Mytilus edulis: one gene and its partner. The protein of the gene in region 2 interacts with the protein of the main gene of each other region in a pairwise test. Links are inferred from orthologs where the notes say so. Each region holds a gene or a part of one and is shown on either strand. Other genes may lie near its edges. The genes, in order: uncharacterized protein and ubiquitin-conjugating enzyme E2 variant 2-like.

What was found.
Region 1: the proteins of ubiquitin-conjugating enzyme E2 variant 2-like (region 2) and uncharacterized protein interact in a two-hybrid assay, tested with the Caenorhabditis elegans proteins (2 studies listed by BioGRID). The link is inferred for Mytilus edulis from reciprocal best matches to the Caenorhabditis elegans genes uev-1 and ndk-1.

What each region holds. Positions count from the first base shown.
Region 1 is NC_092351.1:1,684,675-1,696,698, forward strand, and holds the start of uncharacterized protein, read right to left. Parts: upstream 4,965-12,024; 5' UTR 4,890-4,964; coding exon 4,716-4,889; intron 1-4,715. Other genes in the region: alcohol dehydrogenase class-3-like, read right to left, coding at 11,093-11,123.
Region 2 is NC_092348.1:73,765,718-73,776,971, reverse strand, and holds the start of ubiquitin-conjugating enzyme E2 variant 2-like, read left to right. Parts: upstream 1-6,038; 5' UTR 6,039-6,123; coding exon 6,124-6,145; intron 6,146-9,697; coding exon 9,698-9,843; intron 9,844-10,748; coding exon 10,749-10,883; intron 10,884-11,254. UniProt on the Caenorhabditis elegans protein: Involved in protein ubiquitination, but has no ubiquitin ligase activity on its own. The uev-1-ubc-13 heterodimer catalyzes the synthesis of non-canonical poly-ubiquitin chains that are linked through Lys-63.

The DNA of each region.
Region 1 (12,024 bases), on a different chromosome or scaffold from region 2:
CCCATTGATATTATATCGTCTTTCATTTTGTCGTGCAAATAAAATAACAGAAATATTTTGAAAATATCATTCGAATAAACTAGTGAAGGTGAGCTCCAGCAAAGTAGATCCTTAAAATAGTATTGTACGAAAAGCGTATCACAAGGCGGAACGTTGTCAATTTGTATATATACAGAAATGTTATTCATACAGTCGGGATTCTACTTCTTCAAAATTATCTCCCCATTACGCCAGTTCATGCTCACAGTCGTAGAAATGGAAGCCATTGTAGGGATGACGCTCTGCCAATTTTGCTCTTGAAAACTGATAAATTTATCCACATAGCACCATTACGATCGATCGTTATATGTCAGTTATATTTTAAAATACAAATGTATCTACTAGCTAATGAGCATTAGTTAATGATCTTGTCTGCATTGATTCAACTTAAAAATATTGTCTGTTTGGATGTCAGATGGAATTTTTGAAAATTCTTAAGCATTTAAAAAAATTCTAATTAAATATTTCGTGGAAGGGCAGACTAAACATTTTCAGTGGTTGAAGATTATAAACCCTAGTTATCACACACACATTTTCATCATCCAAACTAAAAGACTGTCGTCAAGTACTTTTAGAAAAAATAGCTATTCGAACACACCTACTCTGTTTTTGTGATTCATTAGATAGGTACATTGTATCTCAATAAAACCATATATTTCATCTTTTCGTACTGTCATTTTTTTACGTTATAAAGTCAACCTGTAGCTTTGATATATAATAATGATAGAATCTGAAGCGAGATGCTATATAAAATACTCTTGTTTTGTACGTTTTAAAGACAAAATATACACCCCAAACATGCCCTAACATAAAAAGGTGCACTTGATTTTTCTCTTTTCGTTACAATCATTACCTGTTTTGGGTAATTTTTTCTTGATTCACATAATGGAAGGGCAGACACGAAAATTTCTGAACTAAAAGATTGATATGTTCTCCGTCCGTGATAAAAAAAAAATCGGAGGTTATGCATTTTCTACATCCAACTTATAGATACTATATATAAAAAAGAAGATGTGGTATTATTGCCAATGAAACAGCTATCCAGAAAAGACCAAAATGACACAAACATTAACAACTATAGGTAACCGTAAGGCCTTCAACAATGAGCAAAGGCCCATACCGCATAGTCAGCTATATAAGGCCCCGATAAGAACCATGTCGTCGACTTGATATCTTATTATTTTGCATTACTATGTAATAGATACATTGAAAACTTATGCAAATGGTGTTTTTAAAATAAGAAAATTGTCGTTTTATTTGTTTCTATTAACTTTTTAAAATTTTGTTACTATATCAAACATTACGCTTTCTCGATAAACACAGAGCTTCGATTCTTTTGTTCTATTTCAAAGGTGTTTCCGCCTGCATATATCAAGACAAATTAAGATTTTAATCTGCTTCCTCTGGACCCATCCACATGGGCTCGATTACCAAATATTCGTATGTATTATTAATGTTTTTGATGCTCCATTTATTGGCATTATGTTTTTCTGGTCTGTGCGTACATTCGTCCGTTCGTCTGTTTGTTTGTCCGTTTGTCCAGCTTCAAGTTAAATAAAATTGAAACTTTGTACACATTTTCCCTATGGAATGATCTTTTTAATTCTAATGCCAAATTACAGTTTTGTCCCATTTTCATAGTCCACTAAACATAGAAAATGATAGTGTAGATGAGGCATCAGTGTACTAGGGACACATTCATGTTTCTTCAAATTTTCGTCGTATCGCTGTAAATTTGTGTTAAAATTTTAACGTCGATATCAATAAATATTTCATTGTTTACAAGAAATATGCAATTTACTATCATTGTTATAAATCCTAAATATGGCCAATTATATTATAGTTTAAAAAAAGAAATTTATGAAACATATTTATATTCGCTAACCGAGCCCCTATTGAGATCGAAAACTCAACAAAAAAGCTTTGAATACAATACGGATATTTCTTAGAATTGATGGTCATCCTATAAAAGTTACGGTCGTCCTATATAAATTACAGTCAGTCTTTACAAATTACGGTCATCCTTTACAAGTTACGGTCATCTTTTTACCAATCACGGTCATCCTTGTTTTATGTTACGGTCATCTTGAAAATATTTTGATTATGATTTACGGTCATCTTAACGATTTTTTCAAATCGAATTTCCTGTTTCATGCACATTTCTCGGAAGTAATTAGTGATTTTCGAGTGATTCTTTTATAAATTTACATCGTATCAATGTATGATTTGTAAAGAAAATGATATAGAAACACTTTAACAGACAATACAGAAACTGACCTAATTTTTCATCCGACATCTTGGGATGACCGTGAATGCAGTTACGGTCATCAGCTTTACCCCAGTGTATTTCAAAACGTTAGGAATTGTGACCCAGGTTCAGGCCACACTTGTTTCCCAAAAAGATATTGTTTACTGTCAATGCAAAGCTTGTCAATTTATATAGTTCGTTTCATTAGATATTTTTCTTGGATATAACGTACCGAATTATGATTGAATATTCATTTCCTAAACACTATTATCAGTGATATTGTTGTTTTTTTTCAAAACTACCTCTACTGTTTTTTATTGGGAAAAATGCATAAATTGTATTGAAATTGGGAAATTTGTATATTTTATTCTAAATCCATCACTGATGATTTCATGGCTTTGCTGTCTTTTTACACTGTTTTTTTTCATGTATATTTTGGTTGTCAGACATTTTCAATCTGGAAGGTACTTTTCGGAGAGAGAAAGAAACAGAAGCAATGATGATACTTAATGCATTGAAAACTACATGTGTTACAAACACCATGATGATTCTGATCAGAAAACCGGATCTCAAAAGTGCTTTCTAATATCAAAATAATAACATGAATACGATATTTACAAACATTACTTCCAATGCCATCACTGTTTGGGGAAAATGTTAAACTTTTTGGGAGGAATTTTAAGCCATTTTTTTAAGTAATTGGGAATTTTCTCTAGGGGAAAAGGCCGAATTTCGGCTGTAATTTGAGGCAAACAATATCACTGATTATATAATTATTCCCATTTGTATACATTCTCCGCCTATTTTGTTCAGCCATATTGAATCTCGTGTGACGTCACGGAAAACAATTTCTAAAGAAACGAACTATATAAATTGACAAGCTTTGCATTGATGGTAAACATATTTTTAGGGTATTAAACAAATTAATTATTTTAAACTGTTAAATAAGTGCGACCTGAACCATTTTGAAAAAGGAAAATCCGTAGCTCTATGGTCTGCAAATAGTAAAATAGCATAATCACCCAAGAGCTACGGTTTCCCAGCTAAGGGCCAGCTTGCGCCCTCTACGCCACCTCTGGATCAGCCACTGGTACGGACACTGACAAGGGGAATTAAAATCTAAACAACCTTTCAAGAGGGACATAATTATTTGGACTAGGTATCCTACCGTAGTCTAAAATCGTTCATCTTGTCAGTTCGTTAGGTATTTGTGTTTGAACTTAACACACCGGGAAACTCCGCATTGACGTCACTACGCTACTTCCGGCGTAGAAAAACAATGTAAAATACGTTTTTTCTGCACTTTTGAATAAAAAAACATTTCTGAAGGTAAGTTTTCATTGTTGTTCTCAATTATTGCTAAAAAATGCCAAATTTCTAATGCCCGTTTCAATCCCGACTTCCGAATGTCTAAAAGCATTCTAGAACTTCACAAAATCCCACTTCCGGCCTCCATTGCTTTGTGTACATTCCATTCAGCGTCATCAATCTTGTGGCAGGCAATACAGGTCAAGCAAATCGTATTTTTAGGAATTTTAAAATGACATGCTCCTTACGTCTTTCGCGATTTTCCCGCGAAAAAAACCCAACCAAATAAAAGGAAAACTAATTGAAAAAAACGATGCCCATGCCATAATTTTGTACGGGAATATAGAGTAGGTTAATGAAAAATAATTAACATTTATTTTTCATAGAATTTTCTTTTTATTCATTATAAAAAGATCGATATTCTGACCATCATGACTATAGATAAATATTCATACAGAATTCCACTGATGTCAAAAGGGATGGCTAAAAAGAGTTTTCCTGTTGAATAAAACCCAAAATTATTGCAAACTATTTTGAAGCAATATCCCACAAAGAAATAACGTAATTGCCGTAGACTGGAAAATCCCCTAATTGACAGTAGAGCAATTTGATTGGGTAGAACGAATTGACATCACGTGATTTTGACGCCATTGAAATTTAAATGTAAACAAACAAGGTCAGAAGGTTCAGTATGGGACAGCATCGTACATTTAGTTACTGACAAATAATTATGAGTTACCAAGCTTGACAATGCATGGTAATAAAAAATGAAAGCTAAGTGTACAGAAAAATAAGAAAAAATTAGCCTTAGGATAACGACTTATCATTACACCTGAATAATTGAACTTATTCTAAATAATTATGTCTTGAATTTCAAGAGTTGTAAGGCTATATTTATATTTTTTGGCTTTGAACCCTGCGCAGAAAGGCTTCAAGCCGATTCCTTCAAGTTGTCTTGAATAGAAATATTTATAGATGTATTTGTCATCCCACGGATTAAACAGTTAAACTGTAATATGTTAGTGTGTTCATGTAGTCTGAGAGCTGACATTGAACTCACCTCTACACAATATATTTTTTTTATAATTAATGCATTTGACATTTTGGGAAAATATATCACCTGAACTAATTTACATGCAACCAGTTTATAGCCTCTATTGTTAAATCTTTTGATGATTTCGCCAGTTAACCCTCTTTGAACACCATCAGGTTTAACCATGATGAAAGATCTTTCGTTGTTGGCAGCCATTTCTGATGAAAATTGTGAGAAAATGGCTAAGAGGGTAGCAACCATGTGGCAGAAAAGTGAAAAAGGAAGTTGAACAAATTTCGCCGGTATCACGTGTCTACAGTTTCATTGACAACAGATGGCGTTCTAAGCAAGTATAGTCTGTTCTACATTTTTTAATAATGTATAGTTTATTGCAAATTAGTTGGGAGATTTCGTGGAGGTCCGCGTTTGGAAGGGTGTTTTCGGTGAGGTCCGCGTCCAGTGACCGTCTTGCAATCTTCCTCTTCTTCTTCTTCTTCTTCTTCTACATGTAGATACTTCCAATTATGGAACACCTCCGCAACGGATATTATGCAGACGGGAGTTAATTAAAACTTATATTGTGTGCACTAAAAGTTTTCAACAAATAACATAAAAAATTTAGATTCGCTGTACACGGATAAAATCTAAAATATTTAAGGACTGATAAAATAATTTACGCAATTAAAAGGTAAAAGTATCTAGGCCTTATCAAGGATTTGTATAGTAATATTTATTTTTAAGATTTACTGTACACAACTAAAACTAACAAGAACTATCTTTAAAAAAGATATCCGACGTATTTAAATTTGAGTATATGTTTAAAACTGTTATTTCGATAACCTTCAGAAGCACAAAGATACCATTTAAATAACGTTTTCTCTGTTTGTGTTCAGTATTCTCGGTCCTCGTATCTTTCTGTTTAAGGATGTACTTAGGTGAGATTAGGTAAAAATTAAGAAATTAAGAAATTAAAATTGATACTATAAGCTGGTAGAGCATCAATTAACGATAAAGATAACCTAAAAATATTAATAGGTCATGGACCTCCTTTTCGAGATATTTGAGATTTAAAATATGGCGGGAAAAGGCTGACTCAGACTTTTACCTTATATTTGCATTGGTATTATTTGGGTCTCAAAACAAAAGAAAGAAAATCAAGAATCTTTTAAAATTTTGGTAAATAACCTTTCATGAGCTATTAAGTCTTATATGAAAAAATAAATGGGTGTTATGGGGCAAAATATTTTTCATTGTATTGTATGGAAAAACACCAAGGAGTCTGAACATTTGACACATATTCCAAAACCTCACCTAAGTACATCCTTAAATTCACCAAAACCCGGCGGAAATCTCACATGCGTAGCTGCGTTCTAAAAGTCATGTACGTTCGTACAAGTACTATATATACCATGGTTTTTACGAGTTAACATATTTAAACAAACGAATCCGAAGGATGAGTTTGTTTAAATATGTTAATGAGTAAGACACATGGTATATAAAATTTGTAATATAAATAAAATGATTGACAGCTTCAAGACCTTCAACTAATATTGCAAATTGATCACGTTACAGTTTTATCCAATGAAATGGAAGCTAGCGCAAGTCACTTTTGTCTCGTCTGTGTATTTCATGTAATAGATCCCCTGAATTTGCAGAAAGTAAAGAAAATGTCGGATTTTCCCGATTTTCTTTTTAGTTTTGCGCCCCGTGTATGATTGTAGGCGCAGGTAATTTCATAATGTCATCAGACTGAGGTAAACAAAAATGTCGGATTCCAGCGACAAGGATTAAATAATTATTCTAATGACGGTAAGAATTGGTTTTTTGTTTTGTTTTCAATGTATCATACAAATTAATCATATTTTACAGAATTTTCATCTAATTGAAAAATGCTTTTCTTCCGTTATTTTATTAGATTATTTATTAAAACACAATTTTAATGACTAAAACAATATTTTAACAGTGGCGAATCCAGGGGCGTAGATAGTGTACGTCCCCTAATCATGTTTTTTCACAGATATTTGTAGCCGATATTTATTCCTTTTTGTATAGGTACCCCCCTTTTTAAATCGAAATTTAATTGAATTTTCGCAAAGGAAATGATAGTTTTACATTTTATTTTTTTTTCAAAACTGAAAGAAGAAACATTTAGTAATTGTTTCCAAAATTAAGGGAATTCGTAATAATCCTATATAGTTTGTGCTTTTTCTTATAAAATGAAAACAAATGAAGATCTTGACCTTTTAGTACGTTTTACAGTTTCCTAAATATTTTAGAGGCGGATACATTTAAAAAAAAAAGGTGGAGCTTCAGCTATGGAATAACATGAAAATGAATATGTTATACCATGGCTGAAGCTCCGCCTTTTTTCCTTTGGATTATAGTCGAGTTGCATATTTAATTAGCAAAGTATGGTACAACATAAATTTGCATATAATATACCATGGTTTTCCCTCACCCCACTTTTTAAGCAAATTATTTCATAAAAACATCAAAGGAAAAAATCGAATTTATGTTACAACAAAGTTTAAATTAAAAATTATATAATTGTTCCCAATACACATCTGTCACGGATGCAAAGAGCTATTGGAGAAACAATTATTTCAATGAAAATATAAATCTTTGTAAGATCTAGTTCAAATATGATAGTTTTTCACTTGCTTTCCATCACGATATAATTAACGAGACGTTTTTTCAAACACAACCAAATCAAAAAACCATGACAGCATTTTGTTCAATCACAGAAAGGATTTTCGAGCATGCGTATTCTGTTGCCATAGTTAAGCGTCCTTAAGTTCAAAGGGCACAAACCGAAACTATAGCGACTACGTCGGAAAAATATAGGGTGCTTTATACAATGGAAAGCTAAAAAATCCAAAGTTTACGGATTGGAATATAAATGTAAATAAAAAACAAATAAAAACTGGACAGGATCACTTAAGCTAGCTTTATATAGTAAAAATAAAGGGGACACCCCTGCCTCTACCTTATCACATATGTAATATGCAATATTATTGTAATATTTACCGGTGAAGTTTTGTTTTCTTATACAAATTATCATACTACTGATCACTCTAATGACCGATTGCTTTAAAATGTGTATTTTCGTCGTGAATGAATACTCTGAACTATTGTTTATAATATATTTGACGGACATATTTTAGGTTAGAATATATCTCATACCTTGCGAACGTTGGTGATAGTTCCGTTGAGAATGGAAACACACTTCTTAATCTCGTCATCAATTGTTATTTATTTTTTATGTTCTGTGGTCGGATGAGCCTGATTGAAAATAGTCAATTAAGCAAAATCATCCAAGATACCAGGCTTATAAATTCTTCGAGATATAACTTTTGTTCCGACTTTCCGTATTTTTTACAAAGTCCAACGGTAAAGTTGAAAATAATTGATGTAGAATCTACAGCTACTTTTTAGTTTATCCACAATTAGAACATCCGACCATAGTTTTACACTTAAAAAACTTAGTGATAATTCTAAAGAATGAAACCAACATGACCAAGGATTTGTATAATAAGAATCTTACTATAAAAATCCTTGTTAAAACAGAAAAGTTATGCAGCATTTTTCCATTCTATAGCAAAATTACTCCTTAAGAAATAATTCCTTCATGTCATGCTCTATGCTCATTTTAACATGGGTAGGCATTATATTTGTCGATATTTTACACTGAGCGTTAGCCTACATGCCTACCCATGTTTAAATGAGCATAGAGCATGACATGAAGGAATTATTTCGATTCTAATAGGACCAATACTGTATTTTTATAAGTTGAAGCGTACGAAAATACCGTAAAAATCTTTGGCTATTCCCGTTTCCTCCCCGAGGAGTCTGTACATTACATTTCAAATTTGATAAGTTTTTAAAAACTACGTGCGGTGAAAATATATGTTGTTTAATGAAAATATACAATAAAAGTTAATGTTAGCTGCTTAAATGTATATATTTTAATGGATAACGATTGAAATAACGTTAGCTGCTTAAATGTATATATTTTAATGGATAACGATTGAAATAACGTTAATATAAACAGTAAATTCGTGCGCATGTGTCAAACATATTTTGTGCTCATTAGAACACGGCTTTATTTACAAAGCGTAATAAGGACGCGATATTAGAATTCTAAATTGTATCCATGTAATTTTTTCTATATGTACCCTATAAACACATCTTGGGAAGTCAATACATAATTAAATACGAAAAGGTGACTTAATTAACTAGTTCTGGGGTGAAACAGGAAGACGTTCTTCTTCTTTGTTTTTTTTTATACATTCATTAATGATTTGATTAAAGATTTTCACATTCGAAAATCCTTTTCCAATAAAATTTAGTAATGTTGAATTTTTTATTTTGACGATACTCATATAATATTGATTCAAAATTGTAAAGGAAAAAAAAAAACCTCACAACTCGGCGACAAAAAAAAAGAAAAAAAAAAGAAAGAAAAACAACAATCTACAAAACACAACATAGAAACTAATGACCAAGCAATTCGAACACAAAAACATGGGGTGATCACATACGTTCTGAAAGGGTAAAACTATCCCGATCCAGATAGTGACAAATTGAATGTGCTTCGTAAATTTGAAGTAAATGGAGATAAATCAGAAGTGGTAGTTTTCAACTATTATAATAGAGAATCATTATATTGAAAATGTCGATAAATTGATGTACAAGATAGATAAGAGAGAGGCTAAATATACCAGAGGGACATTCAAAGTCAAGAGCCTGTGATTCAGTGGTTGTCGTATGTTAGTGTATAACATTTTTGTTTTTGGTTTATTATATTGTACATTGATTAGACCGTTAATTTTGTCACATTTGACTTTTCGGGGCCTGTTATATATGACTATGCAGGCTATGCTCATTGATGAAGGTCGTACGGCGACCTATATACACGCAGTTGTTAATTTCTGTGTCATTTGGTCTCTTGTGAAGAGTTGTCTCATTGGCAATCATACTACATCTCTATTTATATCATGAAAAAAAGACCGATGAACAAACTGATTTTGGTTCAGATTTTAGCAGTAGTAACCGTCGTGTTGCAAAGGTCAAGTGAAGAATCGGTCTATTAGGAAACCGAACAATTCCGTGTTCCGGCATCGTTCGTGACGAACATACCCATTCAGATGTGTTTTTGATATGGCTATAACTATACAGCTGCAGCGTATGTAATTGTTATATATGTACGCTATTATTATTCAGATGTGTTTTTCACAAATGACCAATGATATACTCCAGAAAAAAAATTCTGAGGCACGTGCATTTGGTCCAACACGGCGGTTTAATATCCTTCTGAAGAACCTATTAGCAACCCCGTTGTATTTTGGTGGAGTTTCTTTCGCTCATGAAGTTATTCAATTTCCGTATTTTGAAGACTTTCACTTTGTCTTTCCGTCGTTGTTCTTGTTTACCACTGTCATGGTATTTTCTGTTTTTCTTCGAGTTATATGTATTGTATCATCCCATTGATGACTTTTTATCACTCCATTGCTGTCGTCTGTCTTTTTCAATGATTATAATTTTACACTCGCATTCGGTTCATCGTTGTGAATTTAATACTTACATGTATAACATTCCTCTATGCATATTAATTTTTTTTAGATGAGTTAACAAAGTACATTACAATTCAATTCAATTCAATGTTTTATTACATTACATCATATTTTGAACTTATTACAGAAACCTTTTCATAATTGCATAAATAAAAAATGAGGTAAAACCTCAATTAATGAAAGAAGAAGCGGGGGAAAATTCCGAACAAACATCTTCATTTTAAAAAGTAAAATCACAAAAATACCTAACTCCGAAGAAAATTTAATCGGAAAGTCCCTATAAATCACATAGCAAAATCAAATGACAAAAACACATCAAACGCATGGGCAACAAATGTCATACTCCTGACTTGGTACAGGCATTTTTAAATGTAGAAAATGGTGGATTGAACCTGGTTTTATAGCGCTAAACCTCTCACTTGTACGACAGTCTCATCAAATTCCGTTATATTTACAACGATGCGTGAACAAAACAGACATAATTATATTTAGACCATTATATATAGATATTCAATTTTCAGTAACTTGATATGGTAAAAAATGTTAGAGTGGGCAATGTTATACCTAGGGTTGCCCTTTTTGTTTTTGAAACTCTCAAATAAGTCACGCAATGGCAATACAGAGGCAATGAAAACATAATAGGTTAATATTAAGTTTATTCTAAGCATATAAAAACAAAGCGTTGAAGTCAATATGGCTCATCACCTTCTATACTTAAATCAGGGACAGTCTTTATTATTACATGTCTATAGACGACGTACTGTCCTTAAACTGACTGTTCTATAATTTCTGATTAATATTTTGGTAATTCCTTAAACCATTGTAGATAGAAATATGCGGCTTCCGCCATTTTTCTTTTCCCTAGAATTTTCTTCACTTTCTAACCAATAATTAAGCCCACATATCCAGGACAGTTCGCAAGCTGTAAGTAAAACAAAGATATCTTTATATATTTTTTTGTTTAGTATGTGTGTTATTTTTTAATAATTAAAAAACTTGATATAGATTGCAAGTAAATATGTTCCATAAGTGTTACGCACAAGCTGCGTTTTTGACGCAGGTACACAGGCAAATTTCACTCACATCAATTTCACGTGAATTTAAATTCATGTGAGTCTCACACGTGAAATTCACGTGAATTTCACCTCAAACGAGCTTATACGTGAAACTCACGTGAAATAAGTTTTTGTGAGTTTCATGTGAATCTAATTTGAAACTCATGTGAATTTCACATATTAAAAGTCACCGTGACGTAAAAAATTTAATGTGAAATTCACAAATTGAGTTAAAATCATGAAAAACATCAAATTTTATTGTTGTAAATTTCACGTGAAATTTATGTGCAAAATTTCACATCAGATTCATGTGAATCTCAATTCATGTTCACATGAAAATTTTCACGTGAGTTTCATGTATCAGCTCGATTGAGGTGAATTTCACGTGAAATTTTCATGTGAATTTCATGTGAGATTCATGTGAAATTCATGTGAACAAATTTTGCCTGTGTAGTTGATACTCACATCTAAAAAAAGTAATACTATTTTCAATTCTGAATTATTTTATGTACATAGATGTACAATGTACATACATCGGCATTGAACAAAATCGTGTGTTTCTGCAAAGTATTTTTGACAGTTACTGTATTATTTAGTGTTGTCATAATAAATTGTTTTCGTTTTTGTAATAACTATATGTAAACTCGGTAACCGTGAGGAACACAGGTGAAGTAATATTTCGCCGGACAATAAGTAGCCGATTAGGGGTGCTCAAAGTCAAAAATATAAAATACCAAAATCTCTCTATATAATTATATACAAATGATC
Region 2 (11,254 bases):
TCTATGGCCGGGTTGTTGTCTCTTTGACATATTCCCCATGTCCATTCTCAATTTTATTAGTAAGTGTATTAGCATTGGCATATCTCATAACAATTGAGATTATTTTTGACCTCGCCCTCTCAATTATGGTTTATTGATTTCGAAATTTTGCTCAGTTTACATGTATTAGTTTGTGTTTAGGTCTGTTTAAAGGGAACTACTTGTTATAAGTCAATGGTATTTGGTATGCAGTTGTATTAGCATTGGCACATCTCATTTCCATATAGAAATTGTTTAGCCATGACCATTCAGTCATGGTTTATTGACTTTAAATAAATATTTGCAACACCTAAATGTACATGTTTAGGTGTTGCTATTTTAACATTTAACATTTGCATTATCAAAATTACAAAAAAGCGAGACATATCTCTGTGATATTAGAAAGGGTCTCAGTAGCCGAGCGGTCGAAGAAGTCGAGTCACTGTATCACTAGCCTGTCAAAATTGGTTTTGATTTCGAATCCCGCTTGACTCCAATCTAAATTGATCAGGATTATCAGAATTCCTATGCCGAATATCGGTGGTTCTCTTGGCACTCGTGTTTCCTCCAGAAACAAAACAAAAAAGACAGCCACGAAATAGAACAATAGTTCTAAAAGTGGCGTCAAACAATAATCAATAAATTAATCATTTACAGAGAGTACGTCCTATTCTGTTTTTTTTCTTCACTGCAGCAATTGATTGTTTATCCCTTCACTTTTTTCATAGAGTATGTTGTAGGTATATTTCTTTCATAGAGTAAGTTGTAGGTATATTTCCATAGAGTAAGTTGTAGGTATATTTCCTTCATAGAGTAAGTTGTAGGTATATTTCCATAGAGTAAGTTGTAGGTATATTTTCTTCATATTTTAAATGTAGTTGATAGAATATTTAAAAACAGTTTTATGTGAAATCAAGGATTTGTATAGTATACTATACAAATCCTTGGTGAAATGGATAATAAAATTTTTGAAAGTAACACAATCAATAAAGTATTTAGATGTCTGATGAAAAATTGAAAGAAAGCATACAAGTGTGATGGGATTGCTTCCCTTAGAACATGTCGTAGATACTTAGGCAATTAAATATTGGGTAAGTGCAACGGCTACTGGATTTCATTACCCGCCATGATCACTCAATGTTCTTATAGTTGCGCAAATATTTATTAGGTTTAAAGATGTTACAAATTATTTAAATCTTTTAAAGATGCCCTATGCATTATTGTCCAATTGGTATATTTTCCATTTCGTATTAAAACATATTTATTCCTACTCCTGGAAATTCAAAGTTAAAACAAATTCAATGGTCATGCATGTTAAAAGAAACAAGTTAGACTGCACTGTAATTGTATATTCCTCCCCAATATGTTAATTGTCCAACTTTTAATTCTTGAATAAAATATAAATGTACTGATAGTACATAAATGCTATTTCAAATAAAGGGAGGGGAAGTACGCGACTTTTTTTATAACTTTAAAGAGGCCCCTCATGGGGGGGTCCTAGTAATCACATAATCACCATTTTTTTGCCAATATAATCACATAATCATTAAATATTTGCTTATCTTTAGTAATCAAATAATCATAAACTAAAAATACAGTCCTAGGTAATCAAATAATCATGAAATTTTTGGCTTAATAATCAAATAATCATTAAAAAAAACGGCCAAGTAATCACATAATCAAAAACCCCATGAGGGCCCTCTTTAAACTTCAGAAATCAGATGGTATTTAAATGATGGAAAATAACGCAAAACCCTACTTTTTTATAAACTTTTTTCTACCGTGTGGTGTTACATAAGTGTGAACAAGTTTAAGATGATTTTGCAGCTGCTAGATTTGGTTAGAATGTATACAAGAATAAACAACGTAAACAACCGATTTCAAGAAAACATATAATTGTTTATCCAGAGACTGTTTATCCTTATAAAAAGAAGTTGATTTCTGGAATAAAACTTTAATATATACATGTACAAGGCAACAAAAGAAATAATTACAAGGCAATGCATTTTGCATATAATGTAATTAGATTAGATGTATGTTTCATTATAATACACTATTCTGATTGGCTGACTGCAATCTCACATTATTCCTTAATCAACTTCATTACACAATAAAATTTATCATTCATGATGACACGAGGTCCCACAATAAAGTGCACATGTAAATAAAAAAAACTTGGTAAAAATCGTGTTTTCGTGATCCTAGCTAAAAAAAAAAGTAATTATAAGTATTAAATGCTTCTTTTTGTAACTACATTAGCGGTTGTAAAAGTGGTGCCCGTGCTAACATTTTTAAAATGATCTTCGGTCAACGCTTTTACATCCCAATGAAGTTACAAAAAGAAGCATTCAAATCTTAAAATAATAAAATTGGATACAGTGTACCAAAGCAAATAATTCACCAAATGTTCTAACTTTTACAGTGTTATTTTCTTCTCAAAACCATTGATTTAAGGCAAAAACGCGATTTTTTTTGGTTGTTATTTCAAAAATCGTATTTTTACCCCAAAAATTATAAAAATCGATATTAAAACTTAAAACTTTAAATTTTAAATATTGAATCACTTCGCAGGTATTGAATACTTAAATCTCATCTTTGAAATGAAGTGCCGACTTTTGGCATCATTTTCCGCAAAATAACTTTGGCCCGTCGGTGTTTAAAAACTCGGTAGATTCTAACTTTCCAATTTGGTCAGATTATTTTAGTCATATGTATTTGCCTTGATAATGAATGTTTTCTATTGGATAATTTAACAGATTTCCTTACCTATTATATGTTATGATATCTAGGATTACAAACGTGTGTATCGTTTCTTTTGTTGACATCGGTATTTTTATGAAAGTAGTTGTTTTCCTGTATGAAACTTGTAAAAGTAGTTGTTTCCCGGTTTAAACTTTTTAACCACAATAAGTATACAATAAGAATAACATCAAATAAAAGGGCTTTTGCATTTAGTGTAAGAAAATAATAGATAAAGACAATAGTAGTTTACTGCTGTATAATAGCCACACATCTATTTAATATCTAAAACAAATCTGGTCCACAAACCAAAACTGTGACATCAAATATAAGAGGAAAACAATGGAATAACAGAAACACTGAACTGCTACAAAAAACAAAGGCCAGCATACATTGCACATAGAAACGGACTATTTGATAACAACAACTGCCAAATTCCTGACTAGGTACAGGAAATTTTAAGAAATAGAATAGGACTTTGTATTCTAAGTTGCGGGCTAACAAGAACCATACAAACGTGGGATAAGCACTGTACATAGAGCTTTTTGCCGACAATAAAGACACATAAAACATACACATTAGACATACATAAGATATGCAATAGCAAAATGTTCCTATAAAAACATCTGCACAAACTAACAAAGCACTGAACTACTTTATAAGCACATGCACATCTATTTCTTCAAGCTGCATAGAATACTCCAAAAAATATCAAATCATCAAGATCTGCTGGAGCCCCATGCGCATGATCGAGTTGTCTTTCCAGTTTTTGATAATACTTTTAAACTGGTTCATGTTCGTCTGCGAACGGATCTCGCCAGGTAGCTTCTTTCAGAGTGAAACTCCAGTATGAAGCATGAATTAACGAAGACTAACATTTGTGTTCTCTCCTATAGTACTTCAACAGTGCAATGCATTACGTACATGAGGGACATGTACATCACCCCATGCCGCTGAAATTATATTCGTTTAAGAACAATTAAGCACAACTTACTTATAAAAACAAATACGACCATACATATACATAACAAATGTACATTTGAAAAACTAACAAAGGAAGACATGATTTGATGTCAATAAATGATTAACTTACCGATATTGGCTCTGTGTCTTAAAAAATAAAAAAAAATGGGGGACAAAGTAAATATGTTCTCTTTCAATAAATTGTATTTCTATGAAATTGACAATCCGGCGACACGTTTGAAAATCAAACGCTTCCAACTTATCATCCAAACCAGAAATATGTGTATATATCTCTCTGGTATTATTAGAAGACCATTACAACTATAATGACTGTTTGGTACAATTGATAAGTCGATCTTTTCGCACCTGAAGACTGCCGGCAAAACATATCGGCACCTAAAAAAAGAACTAAACCCTAAGCGAAACAGTGATATTTCACGATTAAACGACAGAATAGATTAATTATAACTATAGCGTACAATTTAACCCACTGATTATATTTCAGTTTTTTGCATATTTTTGTACGTTAAAGTTGAGATACAAAATTAAAGAAAAATAGTGGCAGGGTATTTATCCATCCCTCGTCAATAACAACAAAAAATCCGGACACTAAGTACATATCTGAGAGTACTTGGCTTGCAGTTACCGATATAGCTCCACAGTGTTTTAAAGCCCCAAAAAATCATGTACCTTAGACCAGAGACATATAGTACATCAATTGTATTATATGTCTCTGCTTAAACTAAATTGAGTTTAATATAAACACATTCTTTCCATTTAATTGTATTTAACGTGATTATTTATTTTTGACAGTAGTATTTTGAAACGTATATCATCTTAATTTTTCTTATTTTATTAAAAGTTTGTTTTATAAATATATTTTCATGTTTTAACCCCTGGACAAAGACACACTTATATCCAAAGTTTTTCTGGCACTGAAAAAAATAACCCCTGGACAAAGAAACTTTATTCTATTTTTAACAATCTAGGATTTTCAAACCTAGCTGGGGGAAACTTTTCTATTAAACAATATCTACCAAGTATTAAACAACGAGTGATTGATCAGTGCACACAGGATCAATCATCAAAAATTCATGATTCATCAAAACTAAAATTTTATCAACAATTTCATAATTCAAAGCAGCGTAGTTCTTATGTTGATGTTCTAAGTAATAGATTAGAAAGGTCATCTCTGTGTAAAATTAGATTGAGTGCACACAATCTTGCTATTGAAAGGGGCGATGTTTAGGTTTAGCCACTGACGAACGAGTTTGTAATGTATGTAAATCAGGTGAGGTAGAAGATGAAAATCACTTTTTACTGAAATGTAAAAAAAATTCAAACTATAGATTTAACTTTAAAAATAAGATATTAAATATACTTCCTACATGTTGTAGTGAAAATCAGCTAAATATTAATAGTTGTATTAATAGTAATTCTTTAAAAGTCCTGAAAGTGACTAGTTCTTATATATATAAATGTCTGATGTATAGAAACGAGATTTTAGTTTCTTAATTATAACATATTTAAATACTAGTAACTGTATGCTGTATTCATTGTTGTAATGCACTGTAATATGGGCCTTTGCCAATTATTGTAATTGTGTTTGTGCCAATAAAATATTTGTAAAATATTTGTATTTTGTATTTGTTTTAGAATTTTATTATGTAGGCTATACACGTCGATTTGTCATTCATTACCGGAAAGAACATTTTACACGTGTAATTTATTAAACGATAGAAAGCATTGGGAATCCAGGTTTGCAACAAAGGACAATAAAATACTCTTAAAGAAGACGGAACAATCGATTAGGAAAATCTCTTCACTATAAATCAATATGTCCAATACGGTTTTTACAAAGTATAAAACTGTCTAGGGGTCGATATAGTAACCAAACTTTTTTTGTACAATTTCAATTTTTGATAATGTAATTCATTCATTGGGGGGAGGGGCAAATTATCGGTTTAGGCCACAGGCACTCGTATCAGAACAGTGGCGGATCCAGGGGGGGGGGGGGGTTCCGGGGGTGCGCACCCCCCCTTTATTTTTGCCGATCAATGCATTTGAATCGGGACATATGTTTTGCACCCCCCCCTTTGCCCTGGGTGCCCTGGGTTAGCACCCCCCCCTTTCGAAAATTCCTGCATCCACCCCTGCAGAATCCCCCCCTTATATACCTGTTATATTAGGTATATGAGAAAAAAAATTCTGAGACAAGTGCCTGTGGTTTAGGCTGTGACATTTAAAAAAAAATTCTAGTGCATGCAGGTTTTGTCGACTTTTCTCCCAAACACAAATAAATTTCTCCCAAACACAAATAATATTTTACACCTGTGACGAATAGCACTCATCCGGATTCGCCCCATTCCTAACTCGGTTCTGATATTACATATAGCAACCATCATGGCGGGTTCCACAGATACAGGTCGAGATCAAAATATCTATTTTTCTAACAGTTTTGCAGAAATTTGTTTTAAAAAAACATGTCAAATGACTTCTATAACACACATCCTAATACTTGACATCTTGAACGAGAGCCCTCTATGTAAATCTTGTTCGTTAAACACTTTGGAATTTCACGCCGGTTTGGTGTCTCCCATTTTCACAACATCATGGTATTTCTTTCATAAAGAATTTAACCAAATTTTGATTTAAGGACACATTTTAAATGTTATTCTAATGATAAAAGGGATAGACTTCGTTTAAATACCCTTTTAACTCAATAAAAGATGCAGTGGTTACATAGTTTACACTAAGAATTTCCTGTTTTAGCCTTGTTAGTGATTCATGATCTTGTTTTTACTAGAGTATAACCAGATACACACAGCAAAATGATGCTGTGCTACCAACTCATTTAATTTCTTCCAAATCATGTTTTGGACCACATTCAAATCTTTTTTCAACAATATTTATGCTCATAATTTACATTTTTAATACAGTAGAGGGACAAACAGACCTTTGTCATGATTAAGATATTTTAGTGTGAATAATGGGATATGGCTTTTATTTTTGAAGGATTTCAGAATAAAACCTTATCAGGACTCGAGAATAAATGATTTTTTGTCAGGAATGTTGGATGACAACCCACTACCTTTCCTCACAGTAGAATCGCCTGTTTCGATATACATTTGTACAACAGTTGATATCATAAATTGCATTACCTAATTACTTCATATCCATAATGTTACTGTACATGGATATTATTTGTCTTGTGCCTGTTTAGTCAAAACAAGGGGTTCCCTAATTTGGAACACATCTGTCAAATTCTCAATATCAATCAGATATGGTGATCATGAAGTCACACCTACAGAATATTGCATGAACTAAATTACATGAACTGTAAAAGTACATTTATGACATCAATTTGCTCCCTTTTACCCAATTATTGTTTTTTTTTAGTTTGCCAAAGACTAGTCATTGTAAAGATCTTAGTTACTGTTACTGCTTATATTAAGTTTTGAATAGTGTTTCTTTTGCAACAGACATGGCAGTTGATTCCTGTACAATTTTCAGAAATAATGTTTTTGGTAGAAACTTTTGAATTTATTGATAAAAGTACCGTTAAATAAACATGATAAATATGTATCATATTTTTTTTGAGGCACCAGAAACCTCTAGGACAAAAAGAAGTAGCTGTAGCTTACGATTAAGACATGGATATTTAATCACATACACAATCTATGACAAACAAATGAATTATTTAAAAAACAACTTTTTTCATGATTGAATTATTCATTATCTTATGCATGTTACACATAAAACAAGGAGATGTGGTATGATTGACATTGAGAAAACTATCCATCAAAGTTGAAATGAAGTGCATGACATGTAAACAATTATACTATGAGTATGGCAACTGTATAGCCTTCAAAATGTTTAAATTCACAGTAGCTACATTTTATTCAAAAAGATAAACTATGTTAGGAATAATATCATTCAAGAAAAGGGGTGTTATGAAAAAATAGTAAAAACAACCATGAAAATTTGAATCAACCAATATTTGCCAGTATTGACCACTTGGGGAGTATTATTCGGGGCGGTAAATTCCGGTAAATACCAGGCGTGGTATTTACCGCCCAACCTTGGAAATAGCTTTTCTTCAATCAAACATTAAGCATGTTATTAATTTACAACAGGTAATCCATTTGATATCCCACATGTACACAATGTATACTAGCTAATGTAGGAAGAAAAAATACTATGATTATAATCTTGATTTCATTTACAAAACAAATGTATGTATTATGAAATTGAGAATGAAAACAGGGAATGTGTCTAAGAGACAACAACCAGGCCAAATAGCAGAAGGCCACCAATTCAAGGGTCTTCAACACAGTGAGAAAATCCTCTACTCTGAGGCGGGCTTCATGATCAGCTGCCTTTAAACAAAAATGTGTTAAAGTTCAATGAAAATGTATGATGGATTAAAACTATACTGATCCATGTTCAGTGGTGAAAAGATTTTGAAGAAATATTGATAAAAAATGTTAGGCTCTTGACTCAAAACTAGGGTCTACTATAAATATGTTTGCCACAAGGAATAAAATAAATCCATCAGTTTCTTTGTTCTCCCTAGAATTTAAAAAAGCACCATTGAAATTATCATAGCAGCACTGGTTTTCCAAAAACAATAACGTACCATGGCCCCAGGCTCTATACAATCTGTTATAAAATCCAAGATAGAACCATGGTAGAAAATATAGCATGCTGGGGGCAAACACTAATTCAATTTTTTGTCAAAAGGGTGAGTCTGAATTTCCATCACAAATTAATGACAAAATATTTTTAGACTTTATTTTTTTTATTGACAACCATTCAAAATATTACCTAGACAATCAAATCAATACATATTAGTGGAAGATACTTCATATAATCATTATCTTGTCTAATGAGATTTTAATATTGACTAATTGTTAATACCCTGTGTACAGTTAGTACCATTACTTCATACTTTGCTGGTAACAATGTAGACCCACGGCTAGTACAAAATGTACCATCAATGGAAAACATCACTGATACAATGTATTTATTAAAGCAGAACTGAAACTCTTCCTTGTTTGACATTTATTGTTAGCTTTACAAACTTTTAAGTAAGACTATAATCATTAACAAAGTACTGTAAATTCAGAAATTATTGTGTGTATTTATTATTGCGATTTTGTCAGTTTAGACTTAAATGCAATTTTAATTTTTACGATTTTGAAAAAAATCCTGTTTAACATGTTTAAATAATATTGCCTTTACAACTCTGTCACATTTTTCTCAATAATAAAAACGTCGCATTAATTTCAGAATTTACAGTACATGCAATTCTGAATTCAGTCTAATTATATAACATCACTCTGAATGGAGTTTGCATGAGTAACTGTGAAATATCTTTGCGATTGCCAATGAGACATTTATCAACTAGAATCAAATGATGTAGATGTTAACATATATGTGTTTATTGAATAATCTGTATATTAAAATAACAAGTCTAAAAGGGTATATATACAATAATATATATAAATATATATAATCATGAAATACATAGTTGAGTCCCCAGGTGTAAAGATGACAATACTAAGCAACTGATTACATTATTTTAATCCACTTCTCTAAAAATTGACAACTTCTCCAATTTCTCTGCATGAAGAGTCACATCTCCCTCTCCAAATATCCTAGATAAGAACCTGCATAGTTGTATATTCATAGACAAAGTCTGCGTTTCCACCATAAATCACTAAACAGTCACAGTTACAGTTGATGGGGTTCGTGTTGTTTATTCTTTAGTTTTCTATGTTGTGTCGTGTGTGCTGTTGTTTGTTTGTCTTTTTCATTTTTATCCATGGCGTTTGTTTTAGATTTATGAGTTTGACTGTCCCTTTGGTATCTTTCGTCCCTCTTTAACACATTTTCACAACTTTGTTATACATGTATATACATGTACATGTATGTCAGTCCTCCATAAACTTAATTTTTATGTTTTATGTTGCAGTGAAAGTACCAAGAAATTTTAAATTATTAGATGAGTTGGAGACTGGACAGAAGGGTGTTAGTGACGGCACAATAAGCTGGGGTTTAGAAAATGATGATGATAATACATTAACACACTGGACAGGAACAATTATAGGACCACCAAGGGTAAGATAGGAAAAACTACTGGCATGTGTTTATACCTTTTAGGAAATGTTCATTGTCAACACTCAACACCTGCCCAATTTAAGTAACTCCTGCAGACATTCATCTAGTACAAGTCTGCATTATCTGTAATACTACATATAAATATACCAGTTAAAAAAGTAATACAGGCATACACATCTGAAAATGTCAATTATTAGTGAGTTGAAATCATAGTTTTAGTATAATTACATGTGTATTAACTGATGTTTCACAATGAAAATGTATCTTTAAATAATGCCAGAACAATACATTTGAATGAGGACTGTAGTGGGTATTTTGCACAGAAACATTACTGAAATGTTGAAACAGAAATTTTCAATTTAAAAAAAAGAGTTTTCTAATGTAGGGTCCATTCTTGATAATTCTTTAGTTTTATTACAACTCAACATTTCACATTTTTCAGTTTTCAAATATTATATTACTTATATTGCAATGACCTTGTTCATTCAACAAAAATATATCAGCCACACCATTCTCAGGAATGCCTTCAGAAATAGTGTGCAGCTTGACAATGATTACTACATATGATGTTGTAACATGTGAATTTTGAATTGATCAGCAACTTACTTCCTGTTTCCTATTGGTTGAATAAAAACAAATATTTTTGTCACACTTTTCTGAGGGACTTCTTAACAGAAGGTCATAAGTTATGAAGAGTTTATGCTTTCCAGATCCGTCGGGCAACTACGAAATTCCAATATTTTGAATTGCTTATCAGGGTTATATATGCTTAGCATGACAAACCATGCATTCTTGTTTAGTTATGAGTACCACTGATTAGACATCATTTGTTCTATTCAGTGAACTTGGTATCTTTATATTACTTGTATTACACTGTTATTTGATATGTATTTTATATTTTTCAGACACCTTTTGAAAGTAAAATCTATACATTAAAACTAACCTGTGGTGAATACTATCCAGACAAACCTCCAATAGCTAGATTTGTATCCAAGTTAAAAATGACGTGTGTACTTGATTCTGGCCCTCAGACAGGTTTGGTAAGTTTATTAATCAGTGAAACAAGGAATATGAATTTTGTACAAAAAATGTACCTATAGAAAAAAAAAACTCACAATTCATATGACATATTTGTATCTGTAAAGTAGAATTCACATTAAATAAAAGGTATAGGATAAACATCATTGAAATCATACTGAATATCATAAAATAAAATGTATAGGATAAACATCATTGAAATCATACTGAATATCATAAAATAAAATGTATAGGATAAACATCATTGAAATCATACTGAATATCATAAAATAAAATGTATAGGATAAACATCATTGAAATCATACTGAATATCATAAAATAAAATGTATAGGATAAACATCATTGAAATCATACTGAATATCATAAAATAAAA